Linked DNA regions of Sus scrofa. The protein of the gene in region 1 purifies or fractionates together with the protein of each later gene. This does not show direct contact. Links are inferred from orthologs where the notes say so. Each region holds a gene or a part of one and is shown on either strand. Other genes may lie near its edges. The genes, in order: PSTPIP1 and WAS.

Evidence for each region.
Region 2: the proteins of PSTPIP1 (region 1) and WAS purify together in Homo sapiens (affinity purification with western blotting; 3 studies listed by BioGRID and IntAct, with this or other methods). This does not show direct contact. The link is inferred for Sus scrofa from reciprocal best matches to the Homo sapiens genes PSTPIP1 and WAS.

The regions. Positions count from the first base shown.
Region 1 is NC_010449.5:57,133,733-57,145,196, forward strand, and holds part of PSTPIP1 (proline-serine-threonine phosphatase-interacting protein 1), read left to right. Parts: intron 1-1,636; coding exon 1,637-1,671; intron 1,672-1,900; coding exon 1,901-2,007; intron 2,008-4,528; coding exon 4,529-4,591; intron 4,592-5,190; coding exon 5,191-5,289; intron 5,290-6,139; coding exon 6,140-6,185; intron 6,186-7,136; coding exon 7,137-7,216; intron 7,217-7,727; coding exon 7,728-7,826; intron 7,827-8,738; coding exon 8,739-8,835; intron 8,836-9,324; coding exon 9,325-9,415; intron 9,416-9,922; coding exon 9,923-9,978; intron 9,979-10,163; coding exon 10,164-10,297; intron 10,298-11,200; coding exon 11,201-11,332; 3' UTR 11,333-11,464. UniProt on the Homo sapiens protein: Involved in regulation of the actin cytoskeleton. May regulate WAS actin-bundling activity. Bridges the interaction between ABL1 and PTPN18 leading to ABL1 dephosphorylation.
Region 2 is NC_010461.5:42,777,165-42,788,628, forward strand, and holds part of WAS (wiskott-Aldrich syndrome protein), read left to right. Parts: intron 1-3,041; exon of another isoform or gene 3,042-3,057; intron 3,058-3,292; exon of another isoform or gene 3,293-3,308; intron 3,309-6,430; 5' UTR 6,431-6,479; coding exon 6,480-6,611; intron 6,612-6,977; coding exon 6,978-7,118; intron 7,119-8,563; coding exon 8,564-8,650; intron 8,651-8,767; coding exon 8,768-8,870; intron 8,871-9,262; coding exon 9,263-9,304; intron 9,305-9,401; coding exon 9,402-9,455; intron 9,456-10,715; coding exon 10,716-10,884; intron 10,885-11,464. UniProt on the Homo sapiens protein: Effector protein for Rho-type GTPases that regulates actin filament reorganization via its interaction with the Arp2/3 complex. Important for efficient actin polymerization. Possible regulator of lymphocyte and platelet function.

The DNA.
Region 1 (11,464 bases):
GGACCCCCTACCTGAAGGCGAACCAACAGGAGGTTTCTGATAATAGGGGACATGCATTAAGGTCTTAGATAGAGTGTTTTGAGGGCATAGCTCAGGTCAGGTTCAGGAGTCTGAGGGATCCCCCCCAGGATGCCTCCGGTTGTGCAGATGTGGGCTCAGCAGAGGGAGGCCTAACAACAGCAGCCCTTGTAAAGCACCTGCTTTGCACCAGGTCCTGACAGAGGTACTCTATACATATGAATTCATTTGATCCTCACAACCATTCTGTTTGTGCTGTTTTTATCCCCATTTGGCAGAAGGGGAAACTGAGACACAGGCTAAGGAACTTGTCCAAGGTCACACAGAGAGTGAGTGGCAGGGTTTGGACTGAACCCAGACCATCTGGCTCCAGGGTCGTCTTCTAATGCATGTGGGAGTCCAGAGTGGGAGGTCCCTACCCAGGTTCCTAGCCTGGGAGTACGAGTCACTTCCCTCCTCTGCCAGGAGGTGGTGCTCACCCCTCTGAGAGGCCCCTGTGCCTGACAGGCTGGGGCAGGCATTTCCCTGTCAGTTCTATTCTGACCCAAGGATCCCTGTGCCTCCTGGTGCCCCTCACCTCCCAGCAGACAGGATGGGGTTCCAAGGGGGCTCGACACCTCTGCTCGGGCCTCAGCTCGATTTGTAGCTCTGGGAGAGACCCCCTCCACAGGACTGCCAGATAAAATACAGAATGCCTCGGTAAATTTGAATTTCAGATAAATGACAGATATTTTAAAAATGTAAGTATATTCCAAATATTACCAGGGGCATGCTTATATTCAAAAAGTATTTGTTTATCTGAAATCTGAACTTAACTATCCGGCATTTTTATTTGCTCCATCTCGCAATTCTACCTGGTGCATCACCCCTCACCTCCCATGCCCAGCGCCACCTGCTTCCCTTCCCGCTCTCCCTCTCAACCCCTGGAGTGGACAGCACCTACATCTCTGCTCTAGACTGGCCACCTCGATGCTTCCTGACTCCTCCTGCTGGGGTTTTTAAGGCACCCCAAGCCTGGTGCACCCTAAAGTAACTCCCTATCTTCTTCCCTCCTGGGACCCACTCAGAGGTGTCCCTTCCAGCCGCCCAGCCGCCCAGCCAGGGACCAGGGAAGCCCTCAGCCTTCTGATGTCCTCACTTGTACATCCTTTTCATCCTGTCCTAAAGCCCCCACATCTCTCCCCTGCAGCACCCCTGCCTGCTTGTCACCCCCCTTCCCCCAGAGCCCCCATTCCACTCCCTTCAAAATGTCCTCAGGCCACCTGCCAGGTCTGAACCCCACCTTCTCCTGCTTCAGTTCATTCTAAAGAGAGAAGAGGACTACCGGGGAGGGACTCTGGGGGGCGGGGGGCTGGGGACTCCCAGAAGCCAGGAGCCTTCCACCACAGTGGGAGCTTTTGACTCCTTTGTATTTTCCAAAGAGAGCTTTGCCTTCCAGAAATTCCAGCTTGGGCTCTGAGGGGATGGTCACAGTCTGGCCAGAGAGTCCTTTGGGTCGAGATCGGTGTGTGTGAGTGACCTAGCGCCCTCCCACGGAAGTAAAAGTCCCTGGGCCCAGCCAGGACTTCAGGTTCTGCCCCGCTGTCCTCCTGCTGACCCTGGTCTTTCTGTTTTGCAGCTCCCTGAGGGCCTCCTTTGACTCCCTGAAGCAGCGTAAGTCCCACCTGTCCCCACCGCAGGCTGCAGGGTGACAGGACCCTCTGGGAACACGGTATCCCCATAGCTGGAGATGGATGGATCCTGGCTGGGAGGGGTTGTTGTGAGGCTGGTGGAGACACCCTGTGGGGTTGGGGCTGGGCTGGTCCAGGTGGGGGCGAGTGTGTGAGCGGCTGGGGCCCATCAAGTCTGATATCAGCAACTGACGTCCTTACTCTGCCCCCAGAAATGGAGAACGTGGGCAGCTCCCACATCCAGCTGGCCCTGGCCCTGCGCGAGGAGCTGCGGAGCCTGGAGGAGTTCCGAGAGAGGCAGAAGGAGCAGAGGAAGAAGGTGAGGCAGTGGAAGTGGTGGGGGAGGGGCTCTCCTCCTGGAAGGTGGGGAGACTGCACTCCAGGCTTGGAACAGGGCCCAGCTCTCAGGCCTGAAAGCCCGACCGTAGGTCTTCCCACTGAGCTATCTTCTACCAAGAAGAGGGAAAGACATTAACATTTTTTTCTGAAAAATTTTTATTGACGTATAGTTGATTTACACAATGTTGTGTTAATTTCTGCTGTGCAGCAAAGTGATTCATTTGTACACACGTAGATATTCTTTTCACATTCTTTTCCATGATGGTTATCACACGATATTGAATACCATTCCCTGTGCTCTACAGTAGGTCCTTGTTGTGATCCATTCTCTGTGTAATGGTTTGCATCTGCTAACCCCGAACTCCCAGTCCTTCCCTCCCTCTTGGCAACCACAAGACTGTTCTCTATATCTGTGAGCCTGTTTTTGTTGTGTAGATATATTGACTTGCGTTGGATTTTAGATTCCACATATAAGGGATACCACATGACATTTGTCTTTCTCTGACTTCTTTCACTTACTATGAGAATCTCTAGTTGCATCCATGTTGCTGCAAGTGGCATTATTTCATTCTTTTTTTTATGGCTGATAGTATTGCATTGCATAGTCATTGGTCATTTTGATTATCCTACTTCCACTAGGCTGTAGAGGGTCCCTGACAGCTTGGGGGTATCCAAAGGAGGGGAGTCACCAGAAACTGGTCCTGAGCTGAAGGATCAGGGTTGTTTATCCGGGAGAAAGGAGGACTTGGGCGAGTCAGTCACGGCGGCCATTCTGCAGGGCTGCCTGAGGCTGAAGGGAACAGAGCTTGCAAGTGGTGGGGGTGCTGAGTTTACCTTAGCATCCAAAAGTGCTTTTCACTCATCTGTAGGGTGTGGCTGTCCCTAGATAGAGGGACCGCATGGAAAGGAAGTGGGAGGGATGCAGCAGAGGTTGGATGGGAGGTGGGCTTGGTGACCTCTGTGTCCCAGGGCCCCCTCCCAAACCTGAGACTCTGACTGGTGGAGCTCGTGGCCCTCTGGGAAGGCAGATGGGCCTCAGTGATGAGGGTGGTGCCTTGGACGGGGGCGGGGAGGCCAGCACACAGATGTACTTCTTGCTTGGAGAGGAAGGATCATTGTAAACTGTCCAAGGAACTGGAATGGAAGAATCCATTCAACGGAGCTGGGAAGGGGAAGAAGGAGATAGTTCATGGCTGGGACTGAGTATCCCGGCCAAGCCACTTCCCCTGTCTGTGCCTCCGTTTCCCTCTTGCAGGATGGGACACTTATGTCCACCTCCCAAGTGTTGGGGACCCAGACCAGAACCAGCCCCCCTCAGTCTTCACAGGCAAGGTGCCAGCTCCAATTAGAGGCTCTTACCACAGAAATTCAGTGTGGCTGCACCCCCTGTCTGCCTATCTAGCTAGTTGGGGTTTCAGCCTTTCAGGATTCTAAATCTGGGTTCCTGAGCAGACTGTGGGTCCCCAAAGCCAGCCACAGAAACTGGCCTGGCCTTGAGGTGCAGGAGCAGAGGCCCTCTCTGGGCTGAAACTTGCCTGGGAAACATCTGCTGTGACCATGAGGCCCCAGGATGGCTATTTTGAGCTTTCCTGTGGCCAGTGAGACTGTGATGTCTACAAATAGCTGTTTTGGACAGTGACACCTTCCGCAGAGTGGCCAGGTCCTCCACAAGCAGAGGAGAGCTATGATGCAGTGTGTGGGGAAGACTGCCTGCATGTGTGTGCACACATGTGCATGTATGGACATGTGTGTGTGCCCAGGAGAACATGGGTGTGTGTGTGTGTGTGCACACCTGTGAACACATGCATGTGTCTTGGTGTGTGTGTGTTGGACCAGGTGGCTTCCTGAGGCCTTGTCGCTGACACAGGCCCCACTGTGACCCCAGGCACAACTTGGCTATAGCCCTGACATGAGGGGTGTCTCATTCCCTCATTTCCAGTCCCTGCCAGGCACATCCTCCATCTGAACGAGGAGCACGGGAGGCAAGGTGGGGGTGCAGAGGCCCCGTGTGCCTGCGTGTGTGGCCATGACTAAATTTGGAGTGTGTGTTCACCTGTGTGCAGAGGCTCATGGCAGGGGGGGTGGCACTTGGGAGAGGTGTGTGAAGGCCTTGTGTGTGCAAGTATGAGCAGTAGGAACCTTTTAGCGTGTACTTCTGCGCATGGGTGGAACTCTGTGCGCATGTGTACACGGAGCATGATGGCTGTATGCGGGTACAGGGGCGCATGCGTGCGTGCAGGCTGGGTGTCCCCAGCTAGAGATGAAGTCTGGACAGGTCAGTAGCGAGAGGCTACGATGGCACATCCGTGCCTCGGGCTCCCCGCTTTCTGCTCTGAGTGCTGGTTGTGAAAGAGCAGGTCCTGGGAGAGGGGGGTCTTGGTGCCACCCCCTTCAGAGCCAGTAGGGGATGCTGGGCCTCATCCCAGGGACACCCGTCCTCTTGGCCTAGGGGAGTGTCCCGAGGCCACAGCCCCACGCTCAGAGCTTCGTGTCCCCCGCAGTTCGAAGCTGTCATGGACCGTGTCCAGAAGAGTAAGCTGTCCCTCTACAAGAAGGCCATGGAGGTGAGTGCCAGGGCCTTGGGCCTGGGGGTGGCAGGGCTCAGGGTGTGGATCCCAGGAGCCCTGGGCGGGCACAAGGGACAGGGCTGGCCTCAGGCCTCTGTCCAGCAACAGGCACAGTGGGGCTGTGCTGGGTCCACCTGCCCTTGGGAGCTCCTCCTGATGGGCAGGTAATTGGTCCCGACAGTGGTCCCCTGGGTCATCCATGCTGGAGCTGGGGACTTGGGGGGATGAAAGGAGTGGGGACCTCTGAACTGTCTCCTAGGACAGAGTAAGGAGGAAAAAAATGGCTCTACAGGAGAGGACGGCATGTGCAGAGGCTGCCCCTGTGACAGTGCAGGGCGTTTTCAGGGCCCTGCTGGTAGTTTGATGTGACCACGCCCCTGAAGAGGCCAGGGCCACAGGCAGGGCTACCCTGTCCCCACTGGGAAGGGGCCTGGGCACACGATGCCCTTCTCCATCTCCATTCTGGACCCCCAGTCCCTGTCTGTGGTGAGGAAGCCCCTGTTCCATCCACACCCCTCAGCGGGTAGAAGAGAGGCTGAGCTCAGAAACCTCCCTCTGGGGCCTCTACGTCATGTGTCTGTGTCCCCGCCCCCCAGTCCAAGAAGACGTATGAGCAGAAGTGCCGGGATGCTGACGACGCGGAGCAGATCTTTGAGCGCATTAGTGCCAATGGGCAACAGAAGCAGGTGGAGAAGGTGCGTTGAGCCACTGAAGTCACCTGGTGTCCCTGGGCTGAGACAGGGCGGGAGTCAGGGCAGGGGTGACACAGACCGTTAAGGCAAGGTGTGCATCTGGAACACGCTGGCTGCTCCCCTCTCTCTGAACCTCCATTTCCCCATCTGTGAAATGGGTTTCCTGGAATCTCAGGGTCTAGATGGCGTCAGCTCGATCCACTTTGCCATGTCCAGGCTGCACTCAAGGTCCTTCCTCGGAGCAGGCCCAGAGCTCACAGGGCCATGAGAGCAGATGCTAACCCTCACATGACCCTTGGGAGAGGGGCTCGGTAGGCCCATGTCACAGAGAGGAAATGGGCCCAGAGAAGGCGAGGAAGCAGCAGAGAAAGCACCCCCACCCGGAGTGGCCAGGCCCCAGCCCTTGTCGGCTCTGACCTCTAGGCCAGAACGGGATGTGGGAGCCTCCCGGGCCTGAGAACGCGTTTGCCCTTGTCCCGGACAGGAAAGCCAAGGCCCAGAGAGGGCAGGGGCCTGCGGGCGAGTTGGTGGCAGCGAGTCAGGACCAGAGCCCAAGCCCCAGGCAGTGGGTTCTGCAGTGGTCGTGGGGCCCCAGGTCGTTTCTTGCTCTAAGTCTCAGCATCTAGTTTTCACATCTGAGCTGCAGGTTTCTGGTTTATTCCTTTTTCATCAGAACCACCCTGTGGGCCCGTGGGGAGAGGCTGGAGTTAAACGAGGGAACTTGCCCATATGTGGCTCCTTAGTGTCCCGCTGGGTGGCCGGGGAGGCTGTGACAGGTCCCCTCTGAGATGCCCAGGGAGGCCGGGGACCCGGGGGCTGGGGCCTCAGCGCTGCTTTTCTGCTGTCTCCTCAGAGCCAGAACAAGGCCAAGCAGTGCAAGGACTCCGCCATGGAGGCAGGTACGTGGAAGGGCCCCTCCTCAGCCCAGGGGGTGGGGTGGCCCCACCACACACGCACATCCTTCACCCCAGGGACACTGTCACTTGCTCATCACTCTCACTTCCACATTTATGTGAGTAAAACAAAAACATTCATTTTCTTGCATTTGCCAGGACGGTTCTTGGTGGTTTGCACGTTTGAACTACTCCACACCACAACAGTGATCCCTGTCTTGATCCCCCTTTTTAACAGATGAGGAAACTCTGGTGGCACAGAGAGGTTAAGTAACTTGCTCAAGGTCACAGAGCGAGGAAGTGGTGATAACTGCAAATAGAAGCCCTCGGCTCCAGGGCCCAGGGCCCGGACAGCCACAGTCGAGGGAGATAGGCTCCCTCTCCTCGCACACACCGCTCTCGTACCCACAGGTGTTCAGATATGCACACAGCCTTCTCAGGGCCTGTCTCCTCTATCTTTCTCCTGATGTCAGAAGCCCCCCACACCTCTTGTCTCTGCTGGCACAATTCCTAGGACAGAGCGTCTCCTTGCTCTCTTTCCCTGGGAAGCTCTCCCTTCTGGTGGCACTGCCTTTCCCAGGACCCAGCTTCTCCCTTGGCTGGGGGACAGAGGTCATGGCCTAAGCCCCCCTGGCTTCCCAGCCCCACAGCTCCTGATGCCCCTTCCATCCCTCCTTGTGTGCTGCCCTCGCTGAGCCTCAGTTTCCCATCTGGAAAGTGAGATGGTGGGAGCTGAGATGGCGAGAGGCCTGACTCTGACTTTGGGTGTACAAGGCTCTGCCCCAGCCCCAGGCCGCCGGAGCACAGCGGGGAGCTGAGTCACCTGAGAAGAGCGGGACCAGCATGGTGGTGGCCCTGCCGAGTGTGCCAATGGGTGCGGGCAGCCAGGGCGGGTCTCCAGTGGGAGGCAGGCACCCAGGCAGGGGCGGCCTCCCTGAGGACCCCCTGTGCTTCCAGAGCGGGTGTACAGGCAGAACATCGAGCAGCTGGAGAAGGTGCGGGGCGAGTGGGAACAGGAGCATCGGACCACCTGCGAGGTGAGTGACCCCCAGGCATGGAGCCTCTTGCTCAGCTACATCGCGGGAGCCACCACCCCTGCTCTGGCTGCTTCAGGGGGAGATGAGGCAGTGGGGGGGGGGGGAAGGCATTGCTCCTTCATTCCCTCACTCATCCACTCATCCCACAGGCCCTGTGCAGGGGCCCTTCTTGCAGACAGTCATCCTTTGCCCCTTTTGGCTGAAACCAAAACTGAGGCGCACGCAGACCCTGTAGCTTGCCTGGGCTCTGCTGAGGGCAGCAGCCTCAGGATTCAGGGTCCAGGGCTCCCTGTACACCACGCCCCAGAGCTGCGGTGGGGCCTGGAGGAAGGGCTGGGGGCAGGAATCCCACAGGCTGCACCCTTCCCAGAAGCCTCAGGGGCTGGCAGAGGTGGGGGTGGGGCTCTCCAGGAAGAATCCTTCCTTTAGACTTGGCTCTCAGCAGAGGGGGTCTGGCCTGGCCCAGCCCGGTAGCACCCCCCGCCCCAGCTTCTCCCCTTGCTCCCCCCAGGCCTTCCAGCTGCAAGAGTTTGACCGGCTGACCATCCTCCGCAATGCCCTGTGGGTGCACTGCAACCAGCTCTCCATGCAGTGCGTCAAGGATGACGAGGTGTGGGCCGAGGGCAGGGAGGGGAGGGGGTGAGTGGGGGTGTGAGGGGAGGGCAACCTCTGGGCAACAGCGCACCCAGGGCCATCTGAGCCATCTGCACACCTAGTCCTCTGTGGTCCGAGCCCTGGCCCCAGCGGCCTCAGACCTCAGCATTGAGCCTCTGCCCTGGGGCCCCGAGGACAGGGAGTCAGCAGGCACAGGGCCACAGCCTCTGCCCAGAAGACTGCTTTGCAGGGACCCTGGCGTCTGCTCACCCTGCTCCCTCTGCCGGGTTTGGGAAGGCAGGTGGACTTAGCTGCTCAGGTCTGCAGATAAGCTGTGGTACCCAGGGTTGTTCTGCTCCAGGCCTGGTGCTTGCAGGAGCCAAGGTCCAGTCCCTCCTCTGCCCCCAGACACCTCAAGTGTGCCCTGGTTCCCCCCTGACTGAGCTCGACATGTCGGATGTGTCCTCCTCAGCAGAGAGGGCCTGCCACCTCCCCCCGGCCCCCTGGGCCTGGACTTCTGCTGACGCAGCCCTGGAGCCATGGACCCTCTCTCGAGGCAGCCCGGACTCCCTGACGCCAACTGCTGTCCCCTGCCTGACCCCTTCTGCCCATGGGGGGTGGAGTTTTGGGGTTTTCTCCACAAGTGACTTGAGCCCACCTGGTGGCCTCCTCATGGCAGAGGAAGGGGTGTGGGCTCTGAATCGTCTCATACTGGATCCAAAGCCCAGCACACTGAACTCCTGCTCTGTGACCTTGGGCAAGTCACCCTTCTCGGAGTTTCCTCATCTATAAAGTGAGCAAGTCGCATCTACCTCAGAGTGAGGTAAATCCCTTGCAAAGGAACTGGCACACAGTAGGTGTTCAAAAGCCAGGAGAAGCTGCCAGCCAGCGCTCTAACCCTCCAGCCTCTGCTCTTTCCCACCCCCAGCTCTACGAAGAGGTGCGGGTGACACTGGAAGGCTGCAGCGTGGACGCTGACATTGACGGCTTCATCCAGGCCAAGAGCACGGGCACCGAGCCCCCAGGTGAGGGCAGCCTGCAGGCAGCACAGCCTCTGGGCCCAGGCCCGCCTTCCCTGCAAGGCCTGGCCTGGGTTCTCTGAGCTTCGGGCCCAGACAGAGCTGGGGTGGCTCACAGCTCCCTTCTGGGTGAAGGAGCAGACCCGAGAGAGAGCTTAGGGACAGCAATCCCCTGTCCTCTGAGAAGATGAGCAGGGCCAAAGAACCCTGGACACAGAACGGGGAGATAAGGAGCCTCCTCTGCACCCAGCCTGTTTGCCCCACTAAATCTTGAGTCTGGAATATTCGTTCTTGGCGGTACCCACCGTGGGATCTTGCATGGGAAGTGAGAGGGGGGCCCCCTCGTCAGGCACAAGGCAGGCTGGGGCATAGGCCAGGAAGGTGGGGCCCCAGCCTGGGTCTCTGTCTGGGGAGAAGAAGGGGTGGGGAGTGGCACGTGTCCTGCCTGCCCTGCCCTCGCCACCCTGGGCCTCACAGGCCTGCTGTGGTCTGCAGCTCCGGTGCCCTACCAGAACTACTACGATCGGGAGATCTCCCCGTCATGTGGCAGCCCCGGTGTACAGCCATCCTGTGGTATGATAAAGAGGTGAGCCTCCGCATGATGCCAGCCAGCTGGGAACGAGGCTGGGCAGAGGGGGCAGGGCGGCCGGGAAGTGAGGCCAGCCTCTCCTCCTGCAGCTGGCTCTTCCGTATGTATTTATCGAGTATCTGTGGTGTGCCTGGTGCTGGGTGCTCTTTGGGGACAAGACAGGCTCAATCTAGCCTTGTGACACCCTCGGCCCAAGGGGACCTAGGCATTAAACAAATAATCCCCCCCACTTATTCACTGGCGACTGTGCTCAGAGTTCCGACGGCAGCTCCTTCGCCCTTGGGGGAGGCTGGAGCACAGAAGTCTTGGCGCCCCCGAGGCTCCGCAGGGAGCAGGTACTGAGATGTCTACAGGGTGAGGGTCCGGAGAGCACTGCTGGGGAGGGAAAAGCCACTGGGACCACCCTTTGGGGAGCCCTCCTGGTGAGGGGCACCCCATAAATCACCCGAGGGCCCCCTGCCTCATCCTCCCCCCAGCGCTCACCTGCTTTTCCTCTGTCCCCAGGTTCTCCGGGCTACTGCACGGAAGTCCCAAGAATGCTTCGCCAGCAGCTTCTGCGGGTAATTGGGGGGGCAGCTGTCACCCGGGGGGAAAGGGGGGGATGCCTACTTGGCACAGATGGACCCCCCAACGGTTGAGGTCGGGCAGAGGCTGAGCCAGGTCTGGGGAAGCTTCACGTCCGGGGGGCCTCCAGGGATCTGTTTTTTTGCTAAGAGGCGGGCACCAGGCCTCACCCTGCTCTCAGCCTCCACAGAGACCCTGACTCCCATCCCCGATCGGAATGAGGGTGTCTACGCTGCCATCAACGTGCAGGAGGTACCAGGACCCCCCACCCTGCCAGCCCAGGACTACAGGGCGCTCTATGACTACACAGCCCAGGTGAGCGTCCCCCGCTCCGTCCCCTCGCTAAGAGGGCGCTGGTAGCCCCGCGGTGGGAATATGCTGGGCGGAGGCCCTTAGAACAGCACCCGGTGTTTATGAGGGGGCCCAGCCCGTACCTGCCGAGTGAAAAGTGCTGAATGGCGCGAGGCCCCGGGGCTGGTCACGCACACATGTCCAGGCAGCCGTGGGCATTGCACGGGCCCACGCTCATGTGCAGGCAGGCTGCCGGAGTCGGGGCTGCCTAAGGATGTGGTGTGAGGCTCGGGCTAGGCCCCCACGCGTGAGGCCCTTGTTCTCCATGACCCTGGGTGCCAGAACAAGCCATGGCCAGAGCGAGGCTTAGCTGTGCCGGGGTTGATCTTCTGAGGCCCACAAGGGGAGGATGAGTAAAAAGCCCCAGGACAGCTGTGCCCAGATCCTAGAGTCTAGTCTGTTCCTCGCTTTAAGGTGAGGGGTACAGAGCTGGACCTCAAACCTGCTGGGGCTGAGCGGCCCGGGGGAATGACGCTGTGCTTATATTGCAGTGGCAAGCGGAGGAGGGGGCACAGCAAACACACTTGCCCCTGACTTGCTGGGCTGCTGTGTCTACAGTGGGGACAGGGAGAGGGAGCAGCAGGAGGTAGAGCAGGAGAGAAGCCCCAGGTTGTGGGAGGCCCCCAGTGACAAACCAGAGGGGACAAGAGGCTGAGTCCCACAGGATACCCCGCATGCTACGTCTCCAAGGGCTGCCATAGCCCAGAGAATGGCCTGGTCTTGCAGCCCCAGGAGGCCAGCAGGTCTCAGCTCACAGCCCACCTGAGAGACAGGCTGGCACTTACTGCCCAGGTTGAGGGTAATGCCGGATCAGAGGCCCTCCCAGCGGGCACCTGCAGGCTGACGTGCTTTCACTCTCTTGCCCAGAATCCTGATGAGCTGGACATCACTGCAGGGGACATCCTGGAGGTCATCCTGGAAGGGGAGGATGGCTGGTGGACGGTACAACGGAACGGGCAGCGTGGCTTTGTCCCTGGCTCGTACCTGGAGAAGCTTTAAGGAAGGGGCAGTAGCCCACATCTGGACCTGCCCTGCCCATGGGGCCGGCAGTGCCCCCGTCAAGACGGAGCCTGCCCTCCCAGGAAGGGTGCCGGCCGCTCCTGGGCAGTCTTTTCCACAGGGAATAAAGGA
Region 2 (11,464 bases), on another chromosome or scaffold:
CGCTGTCTTGGCCTCAGTTTGGTCTCAGAGGCCAGCGGTAGGACCTACCTCTCCATCATGGGCTCAATCATGTGACAGTGACCCGAATGTGGAAGACACCCCCAATGTCACTGAAGGTGTCTTTTTACCTACTCAGGACTTGGGGCATGGCAGTCGGGATCTTGCAAGCAATATCCCCTCAAAATAAAGGCAGATAAGCACAAGGGAGAGACAGGAAATGACTCTTCATTGGGTGACCCCCTGGGGGTTGGCAGAGGAAGGTATTGGGGGAACATGGGTGGGTGCAGGTTACGGATATGCTCAGGTTCCTGGGGGTTCACCAGATTACTGAGAAGTGAGTTAGGACTTCTGCTCCCCGCTGTGGGGCTGACTTAGAAGTTTTCAATCCATTCTCCTGCTGAGAACAACTGGAAAAACTGGATTAGGGGTTTTGTTCTTTTTATTTATTTGCTTTTCTTTAATTTTATTTTTTTTTTGGTCTTTTTAGGGCGACACCTGAGGCACATGGAGGTTCCCAGGCTAGGGGTTGAATCAGAGCTGTAGCCACTGGCCTACGCCACAGCCACAGCAACACCGGATCCTTAACCCTTTCTTTAATTTTTTAATTATAGTTGATTTACAGTGTTCTGTCAATTTCTGCTATACAGCAAAGTGACCCAGTTATACATATACGACATTCTTTTTTTTTTTTTTTTTGTCTTTGGTCTTTTTAGGACTGCACCTGCAGCATGTGGAGGTTCCCAGGCTAGGGGTTGAATCAGAGCTACAGCTGCTGGCCTACACCACAGCTAGAGCAACACCAGATCTGAGCCACATCTGCGACCTACACCACAGCTCAGAGCAACGCCAGATCCTTAACCCACTGAGGGAGGCCAGGGATTGAACCTGAAACCTCATAGTTCCTAGTCAGATCTGTTTCCGCTGCGCCACAACAGGAACTCCCATTCTTTTTTTTTTACATTGTCCTCCATCATGTTCCACCACAAGTGATCAGATATAGTTCCTCGGGCTGTACAGCAGAATCTCATTGCTTATCCTTTGGGTTTTGTTCTTTTTATTTATTATTATTTTTATTTTCATTTTTGTCTTTTTAGGGCTGCACCCACAGCATATGGAGGTTGCCACACTGGGGGTCAAATTGGAACTGTAGCCGCTGGCCTGCACCACAGCCACAGCAACGTAGGATCCAAGTAACATCTTCAGCCTACACCACAGCTCATGGCAACACTGGATCCTTAACCCACTGAGCAAGGCCAGGGATTGAACCTGCAACCTCATGGTTCCTAGTCGGATTCGTTAACCACTGAGCCACAACAGGAACTCTGAAAAAAATACACATTTTAAACATCTGTACAGTACAGGGAATTATATCCAACTTTCTGGGACAGACCGTGATGGAAAAGAATATTTCAAAAGAATGAATATAGGGAGTTCCCATTGTGGTGCAGCATGAAGGAATCTGACTGGTATCCATAAGGATGTGAGTTCAATCCATGCCCTCGCTCGGTGGGTCGTGGATCTGGTATTGCTGGGAACTGTGGTCTAGGTTGCAGATACAGCTTGGATCTGGCTTGGCTGTGGCTGTGGCATAGGCCAGCAGCTGCAGCACCGATTTGACCCCTAGCCTGGGAAATTTCATATACGGTGGGCGCAGCCTTAAAAAAGCAAAAAAAAAAAACAGGAGTTCCCGTCATGGCTCAGTTGTTAACAAATCCGACTAGGAACCATGAGGTTTCGGATTCAATCCCTGGCCTCGCTCACTGGGTTAAGGATCCGGCCTTGCTGTGAGCTGTGGTGTAGGTCACAGATGCGGCTGGGATCCCTCGTTGCTGTGGCTGTGGTGTAGGCCGGCAGCTACAGCTCTGATTCGAACCCTAGCCTGGGAACCTCCATATGCCGCGGGTGCGGCCCTAGAAAAGACAAAAAATAAAAGGCAAAAAAACACTGTAAATCAATGATACTTTAATTTTTTTAAAAAAGCAAATACAAGTGTCTGCTCCTTAGAAATAAGAACAGGAAATATACAACTTTTAAATGTTAATTTACAAAACCACCAGCAAATGTTGCCGAGGTTTAAAGCCCTCTGATGTAGACTTATGGGGGACCGATCTAGAAGCAGAGAAAGAAGGATTAAAAAAAAAGACAGTGAAGGAGCAGAAGAATTTTCTCTCAGCCCCACCTGGCATTTAACAGTTTAGGAACCAGTTCTCACATAATTGGCCTCAGCTCCACCACTGGACAGCTGTGTGCCCTCAAGCAGGTCAGCTACACTTCTCTGGGCCACAGCTTCCACATCAGTAAAATGGAGATAGCAGGAGAGCTTACCTCATGGGATCTTTGTGTATGAAATGAGTTCATAAGTGTAAGGCACTTAGAAAAAGATCAGATCCTACTGTATAGGACGGGGAACTCTATCCAATCTCTTGTGCTAGAACACGATGGAAGATAATGTGAGAAAAAGAACAAGAATATATATATGGATGACTGGGTCACTTTGCTGTACAGTGAAAATTGGCACAACAGTGTAAATCAAATATACCTTATTTTAAAAAAATTTTTAAGGAGTTCCGATCATGGGTCAGCGGAAACGAATCTGACTAGCATCCATGAGGACACAGGTTTGATTCCTGGCCTCCCTCCGTGGGTTAAGGATCCCGTGTTGGCGTGAGCTGTGGTACAGTTCACAGGTGCGTCTCATGTCTGGTGTTGCTGTGGCTGTGGTGTAGGCCGGTGGCTACAACTCCAATTTGACCCCTAGCCTGGGAACCTCCATATGCCGAGGGTGCAGCCCTAAAAAGACCAAAAAACAAAAATACTTTTAAAGAAAAAGATCAGAAAATATGAAATCAAATGAGACATTCATCCCTCATTCATTCCTTTAATAAAACATTTATTGAGTGTCTGGTTTGTGCCAGATACTGGAGGGATGCTTGGTGCACAGTGAGAGCTCAACAACAGTGTCAACCTGAGCGAATGCAGTGGCCAGCTGAGGAGAAGCAGGACCTTACCCCAGCCTGGAAGGGGCTCCAGGCCAGAAGGTGTGAAATCCATCGCCTGGTGAGTTGGGAGCACCCAACATGAGGTTGTGAGCAGAGAGGAGGCAGGGACATTGGAATTGTCACAGCACAACAGGCTTTGAGCCTAGGCTTAGGAGAGAAGCTTGTCACCTGCAGGCATGGGGGCGATACAAGGTTTCCAGATAGGACTGTGGGTCCAGCCTTGAAATATGCTTTTTCCCTTCAGGTACCTGGGAATATGCCAGTCACATGCCAGACATGCTAACCTGCCTCCACCCCCACCAAGCTGCTGTATGTGTGCCTGAGAGCTGCGTGTCTTTGTGTCCTCTTCGTGACCCAGGGAGGCGTGGGGACTGAGCTGGCATTCGTCTGGGGAGACAGTCTGTCAAAGTTAGAGCTCTTGAAGTTCCCTTGCGGCTCAGTAGGTTAAAGATCTGGCATTGTCACTGCTATGGCGCAGGTTCGACCTCTGGCCCAGGACCTTCCACATGCCATGGGTGTGGCCAAAAAGAAAAACATGTTTTTTTTTTTTCTTCTATTTTTACAGCCGTACCTGCAGCATGTGGAAGTTCCCGAGCCAGGAATGGAACTGGAGCTGCAGTTGCCATGGCAACACCAGATCCTTAACCACTGGGCAAGGCCAGGGTTCAAACCCACATCCTCACAGAGACAACGTTGGGTCCTTAGCTCACTGAGCCACAGTGGGAATGCCCAGAAAAACATTTTTAAAGGGCTATTGCAGGAGTTCCTGCTGTGGCACAACAGGATAGGTGGCATCTTGGGAGCGCTGGGACCAATGTTTGATCCCTGGCCCGCCACAGTGGGTTAAGGATCTGGCATTGCCACAGCTGTGTCTCACATTGCAACCGTGGCTTGGATCTGATCCCTGGCTGGGGAACTCCATATGCCAAGGGGTGGGAAAAAAAATGAGAGCTATGCAAACCCTGCAATGCCCAGATTCCCCTCCTGAGAGGGTGCATGCCTATGTGGACCAAGAGATGCATACAGGAGCAACACAGCAGCCAGTGTTGCTGTCAACCACAAAAGCCAGAAACAGCTCAGATACCTGTTAACAGGAGGATATGAATAAACAAATTGTATAGTAACTATATATATATATATATATATATGCTATATGGTATATACTATATAGCACTGAAAATAACAACTGCTACAAGCAAATATGAATCTTTTTTTTTTTCCGGTCTGTCATTTTAGGGTCGCACCTGCGCCATATGGAGGTTCCCAGGCTAGGGGTCCAATTAGAGCTACAGCTGTCGGCCTACACCACAGCCACAGCAACACGGAATCCGAGCTGCGTCTGCGACCTACACCACAGCTCACGGCAGCGCCGGATCCTTCACCCACTGAGCGAGGCCAGGGATCGAACCCACAATCTCATGGTTCCTAGTCGGGTTCGTTAACCACTGCGCCACGACGGGAACTCCAAATATGAATCTTAGTAACAGAGTGGGGATGGAGCATGAAAAGTGTACACTATGGGGAGTTCCCTGTTGTGGCTCAGTGGTAATGAACTAGTATCCATGAGGATTTGGGTTCGATCCCTGGCCTCGCTCAGTGGACTAAGGATCCGGCATTGCCATGAGCTATGGTGTAGGTCAGACAGCTCGGATCTGGCATTGCTGTGGCTGTGGGGTAGGCTGGCAGCTACAGCTCCGATTCGACCCCTAGTCTGGGAACTTTCATACACTGCAGGTGCAGCCCTAAAAAGAAAAAAAGTGTACACTCTGCACCCAGCCTTTCTGGCTTGCGGTCTGGGCTCTGCCCCTTACTAGCTGGGAGCTACTGGGGAAGTCATTTAAGCATTCTGTGCCTCAGTTTCCCTCTGTCACATGGACCTGGTAAAACAGCATGTGTCCCCCAGGCTGGTATGAGGATTTAAATGAGTCAGTATTTACAAAGAAGTCAGAATAGTGCCTGGCTCACACAGTTCAGTGCTATACATATAAACAGGATGTTGAGTAAGGAGAAAAACAAGTCTCCAAAGATTACAAACTTTCAAAAGTTGAAAAGCAACGGACCCGCAAGTAAACAAGATGGTGTTTAGGCATTCATGCACATAGGCTATAAAATCCCTTCCTTCTTGTTTCTTTTTTTGGCTGCCTCTGGGGCCTATGGAGTTCCCAGGCCAGGGATCAGATCCCAGCTGCAGCTGCAGCCGAAGCATCAGCTGAGACTAGCCTAAATCCTTAACTCACTGTGCCAGGCTGGCATTGAACCTGTGCCCCAGCACTCCAGAGATGCCACCAATCCTGTTGCGCCATAGTGGGAGCTCCTAGCATTCCTTTCTTAAAAAAAGGGGGATAAGATTTTTTTTAAAAAGGAAGAAAAGGAGGGAGTTCCCATTGTGGCTCAATGGAAACGAATCTGAGTAGTATCCATGAGGACATAGGTTCAATCCATAGCCTCGCTCAGTGGGTTAAGGATCCGGCGTTGCTGTGGCTGTGGCGCAGGCCAGTGGCTACAGCTCTGATTCGACCACTAGCCTGGGAACCTCCATGTGCCTTGGGTGCAGCCCTACAAAAAAAGAAAAAGAAAAAAGAAAAGAAAGAAAAAGGGATTTTTTTTTTCGTCTTTTCTAGGGCCGGTCCTGCAGCTTATGGAGGTTCCCAGGCTAGGGGTCGAATCGGAGCTGTAGCTGCCAGCCTACACCAGAACCACAGCAATGCAGGATCGGAGCCTCATCTACGACCTACACCACAGCTCACGGTAACACTGGATCCTTAACCCACTGAGCAAGGCCAGGGATCAAACCAACTACCTCATGATTCCTAGTCGGATGTGTTAACCACTGAGCCACAACGGGAACTCCAGAGATGAATTTTTTTTAAAAAATAAAGGAGGATAATAAGCAGGAAGTACTTTGGGAGCCACAGGGAGGTAGGGGTAGCAATGGGGAAGCTGAGCTGAGTGCCCTTGGGCTGTTGGGGGTCTCAGGAGAGGGCTAGGGTCCCAGGCGCTAGCTATATCATTAAAGGAAAAGCTTTCACCTAGTAACCCTTCAGCCCTAGGGGCCTGGGACCTTGGGCCCAGACTAGCTGGATGCTTTGGAAAGGAAGGAGGCTGCCCGGCTCCATGCCCGCTCCTGGCTGCACTGCAGAAGTGCCGCAGCGGCCTAGCTCTTGCTGCCAGCCAACCAGAGGGAGGCCGATCTGCGCTGGTCAGAGGGAGGTGGGCCCCAGAGCGCAAGAAAGAAAGGAGGCGGACATGAGTGGGTCCAAAAGATGGGTCCAACCAGGCACATGGAGGAGCCCCCCCCCCCCCCCCCCGTTGAAGGCAGGAGGAGGCCAGGCCCACCCAGGGGCCCCCGGAGGACTTGTTTCCCTTGTGGTTTTTTGCACTTCCTGTTCCCCTGCTCACTGCGGAAGTTCCTCTTCTTACCCTGCACTCAGAGCCTAGCCGGAGAGGACAGGACGGGAGAAGACGAGGACAGGAGGCACCATGAGTGGGGGCCCTGCGGGAGGCAGGCCCGGGGGCCGAGGAGGAGCCGCGGTCCAGCAGAACATACCCTCTGCGCTCCTCCAGGACCATGAGAACCAGCGACTCTTTGAGATGCTCGGACGGAAATGCTGGGTGAGCTGGGGATCGCCTGGCCCTCCCTGTCTCCTTTTCCTCCTCTTCCTCTCCGCCTCCTCTTCCGCCTCTTCATCTTCCTCATCCTCCCCCTCGCCTCCTCTCCCTCTCTCCTCATCTTCCTCATCCTTCTTGCCTCCCCTCGTCCTCTTCCTTTCCATCATCTCCTCTCCTGGCACCCACTTACCCCCATTCACCCATCCCAGGAAGATCTCCCCGTCTATTCGCTTTTCCTCTGGCTGCAGCTCTACCTTCAGAGCCAGGACAGCCATGGACAAGGAAGGACCACGTCTGGTTCCCAGCCTCTCTGGCCAACCCCCCCTCAGCGCTCCCCCCCCCCGACTGAGACCTGCTCTCCCCTCCCAGACACTGGCCACCGCGGTTGTTCAGCTGTACCTGGCGCTGCCCCCTGGAGCTGAGCACTGGACCAAAGAACACTGTGGAGCTGTGTGCTTCGTGAAGGATAACCCCCAGAAGTCTTACTTCATCCGCCTTTACGGCCTTCAGGTGACCCTCCACACCCCCCCACCGGACAGACACCCTAGCTTTCAACCCGCAAACCCACACCTATATCCGTAACCCTGAGCCCTCAGATCAGTGAACCCCTGATCCCCAGAACCAAAGACTTCATCCAGATGTCAACCCGTGGTTTGGCTTCCTAAGTCTGCGATGACTGACCCCAGAGTCTTCATGGCAAGATCTATAATTCCCAATATTAGTATACTTCCAAAGTCTAAGCTGTTCCAAAACCTCCAAAAAAACAGGCTATTATTTTTTTATGTGAACCTCAAATCTGTTCGCAACTCAACATTTTGGGTTTCAGAAATCCCCATTCAGAAGTTCCCATTGTGGCTCAGCGGTTAATGAACCCAACTAGCATCCATGAGGGTGCCAGTTCGATCCCTGGCCCTGCTCAGTGGGTAAAGGATCCAGTATTGCCGTGAGCGGTGGTGTAGGTCACAGATGTGGCTCAGATCCCGCATTGCTGTGACTGTGGTGTAGGCTGGCAGCTGTAGCTCTGATTCGACCCCTAGCCTGGGAACCTCCATATGCCATGAGTGCAGCCCTAAAAAGAAAAACAAAAAAAATATTCCCACTCAAAGCTCCTGAACTCCAGAATTTTGCCTAGCTCCTAAGTCATAAATCTGTTCCATAACCCCCCAGTCTAAATATGCCATTGAGTCTTGAACTCCAAATTTGTTCTGTTAAAACCACAGCATGGACCCCAGAATTCCTATGTGAAAACTCCGGAGCACGCAAATACTGCCAGAAATCTGTTCCACAAATCCCCAACCTCAACTCCCTAAGCATAAACCCCAAATTCATTCTTCTAAACCCATGAAGATAGACTCAGTAGAGCCACATCAAGATCCCAGAGCTGGGAGTTCCCTGGTGGTCTAGTGGATAAGATTCAGAGCTTTCACCACTGCAGCTCGGGTTCAATCTCTGGTCTGGGAGCTGAGATCCCACATCAAGCTGCTGCACACTAGCCCCCCCCCAAAAAAAATCCCAGGGCCATCGAATATTGACCCAAATCCAAAGCCATAACTCTACTCTATGAACCTCAAATTGCACATAACTTGGCTGGCTACCCCCCAAGACAAAAATCAACCTCCCAAGTCTATAGGTCTGAACCTCAAATCTCAACCCAGTTCCCAATACTGGCACCCTACCTGCCCAAACGAAGGCCCCCCCATAAAGGGGGGCAGGCTTCAGGATGGATTCTGCAAAGGGGCTCAGGTTCCTAGACTGAGAGTCTCAATCCTCACCTTCAAACCCCCAAATCCCAAATCCTCTCACTGAAGTATCTGACTCCCATAGTGCACCCCAATCCGCCCCAGACATCTAGTCCCTCAACTCTCTGATGCTGAACTAGAAAGCTCCAAATCAGATCCCAGGACCCCAAATTTGTATACTACGCCTCAGTGCCAGCATGTTCCCTGCCTCTCCAGGCCGGCCGGCTGCTCTGGGAACAGGAGCTGTACTCACAGCTGGTCTACTCCACGCCCACCCCCTTCTTCCACACCTTTGCTGGAGATGTAAGAGACCACCCAACCCCCAGGGGCCTCAGTCGGGGTGCTGGGAGGAGGTGGGAAAGGGGTCGGGGTGGGGGGCAGGGTGCACCTGGAAGGCTGCTGACCCCCAGGCCTGTGCAGGAATGCCAGGCGGGGCTGAACTTTGCAGATGAGGGCGAGGCCCAGGCCTTCCGGGCCCTGGTGCACGAGAAGATCCAAAAAAGGAATCAGAGGCAAAGTGGAGGTGAGCAGGCCTTGGGGGAGGAGAAGAGGTTGCCCAGAGGTGAGTGCAAGAGTGGGAAGCTGGAGGGAGTTCCCGTCATGGCTCAGTGGTTAATGAATCCGACGAGGAACCATGAGGGTGCGGGTTCGATCCCTGGCCTTGCTCAGTGGGTTAAGGATCTGGCGTTGCCGTGAGCTGTGGTGTAGGTCGAAGACGCGGCTCAGATCCCACGTGGCTGTGGCTGTGGTGTAGGCCGGGGGCTACAGCTCTGATTCGACCCCTAGCCTGGGAACCTCCATATGCCGCGGGAGCGGCCCAAGAAATGGCAGAAAGACAAAAAAAAAAAAAAAGAGTGGGAAGCTGGAAAAGCCCCCATCATGGTTCTGGTTCCCAGTCGAATTGTCTCTCCACAGACAGGCGCCAGCTCCCCACTCCACCCACACCAGCCAATGAAGGTGAGTCCTTTAGCGAGTGCAATTAGGAGTAAAAAGGGCCCGGCCCAGGAACCTGTGGCAGGATTGCAATGGCTCTCTACCCATCCCATCTTCCCAGAGAGAAGAGGAGCGCTCCCACCCGTGCCCCCGCACCCAGGTGGAGACCAAGGGGGTGAGTGCTGATTCTTCCCTGTGTCTCTGGGTGGGCAGGTGGGTGGGGGAGTGGGTGGATGGGTGAGTAAGTGGGTGGGTACAGAGATAAGTGGGTGAATGAGTAGGTGAATGGATGTGTAGTTAGATGGATTGGTGGTGGACAAATGATTGAATAGGACGAGGAATTGAGGGAAGGATGAAAATATAGATAGATGTACAGGTTGTGTGTATAGATATATAGGTGAGAGTTCCCGTCATGGCTCAGTGGTTAACGAATCTGACTAGGAACCATGAGGTTGCGGGTTCAATCCCTGACCTCGCTCAGTGGGTTAAGGATCCGGCATTGCCGTGAGCTGTGGTGTAGGTCGCAGATGTGGCTCAGATCCCGCGTTGCTGTGGCTCTGGCGTAGGCTGGTGGCTACAGCTCTGATTAGACCCCTAGCCTGGGAATCTCCATATGCTGCAGGAGTGGCCCTGGAAAAGACAAAAAGACAAAAAAAAAAAAAAAGATATACAGGTGAATGGGTATGGGGATAAATAGATGAATGGATGGATGGATGATTGACTGAATGAGTGACTGAATTCAACAGTGAATAAATGAGTGACATAAAATTGCAAGCAGTGGAGTTCCTGTCGTGATGCAGCAGAAGCGAATCTGACTAGCATCCATGAGGATGCAGGTTCAATCCCCAGCCTCGCTCAGTGGGTTAAGGATCTGGCATTGCCATGAGCTATGGTGTAGGTCACAGATGCGGCTTGGATCTGGTGTTGCTGTGGCTGTGGTATAGGCTCCAATTCAACCCCTAGTCTGGGAACCTCCATATATTCTATGGGTGGAGCCCTAAAAGACCAAAAAAAAAAAAAATTGCAAACAGTGGATGGCACAACATTGAAACCAACTACACCTTAATAATAATAAAAAAAAAGGACTAATCCCAAGCATCTTGGGATTTACAAGTGAGAAAAAAATTTCAATCTGTGGAGAAAGCAATGAATGAATGAATGAACAAGTAATTTAACAGATTAGTCCATGAGCAAGTGAATCAATGAGTTGATACTTAAGTGATAAGCGTGAGTGAACATAAATAAATGAATCAGTGAATGCGTGGATGGTTTGTGGGCCCCAACCACACTCTTCTCCATAAACCCTACTTGGACCCCCTCACCCCCTCCCTCCACAACCATCAGACACAGAGATTCTCCCAGCTATCTTCCTGTCTCTTATGCCTGTGCTTTGCTTGGTTGGGTCAATGACTCAGTCCCCCTATTTTCCCCACAGGTCAAGGAAGCAGCTCACTGTCCTTGGTGACAGTGGACATCCAGAACCCAGACATCACAAATTCACGATACCGTGGGCTCCCGACCCCGGGGCCTGGTCCAGGTGATAAGAAACGCTCAGGGAAGAAAAAGATCAGCAAGGCTGATATTGGTGCACCCAGCGGATTCAAGTGAGAACCTCTCCCCAGTGGGCCCATGGATCCCTGGGGGGTGGGGGAGCGCATAAGCAGGTGGACAGGAGGCGAGCCAAGTGGTTGGAAGGATGGGAAAATGGATGGGTGGGTGGGTGAGTGCAAGGCCGGGACTAGGTCACCATGATTGCAAACGTTGTAGAGGCTATCCCTCTCCAGGTTGTCCAACTACAGTTCATGACCCAGAGTGAGTGCCTCCTTAAAGTTTGCTCCCTAACACTTTCACTCATCTCAACCTAGTCCTACCCCGGTTAGGCTGGCCCATGAGTTGGGGGGAGGGTAGATGGATGGATGGATGGATGGGTAGGTGGGTTGGAGAATGAATGGGTGGATAAATGGGAAGTGGGTCGGTAGATGGATGGCTGAGGGGATGAGTATATGGACAGATGGATATATAGGCTGATGGGCTCACAGGCAAGTTGGATGAGGATGGATAGATGGCCAGATATGTGGATGTGTGGACAGTGCAGGGGATACGTGGTCAGCAGTGTGTAGTCGCATGGGTCGTCACGCGAGTGAATGGATGGGAAGATGGACACAGGGGTAGATGGATGGGTGG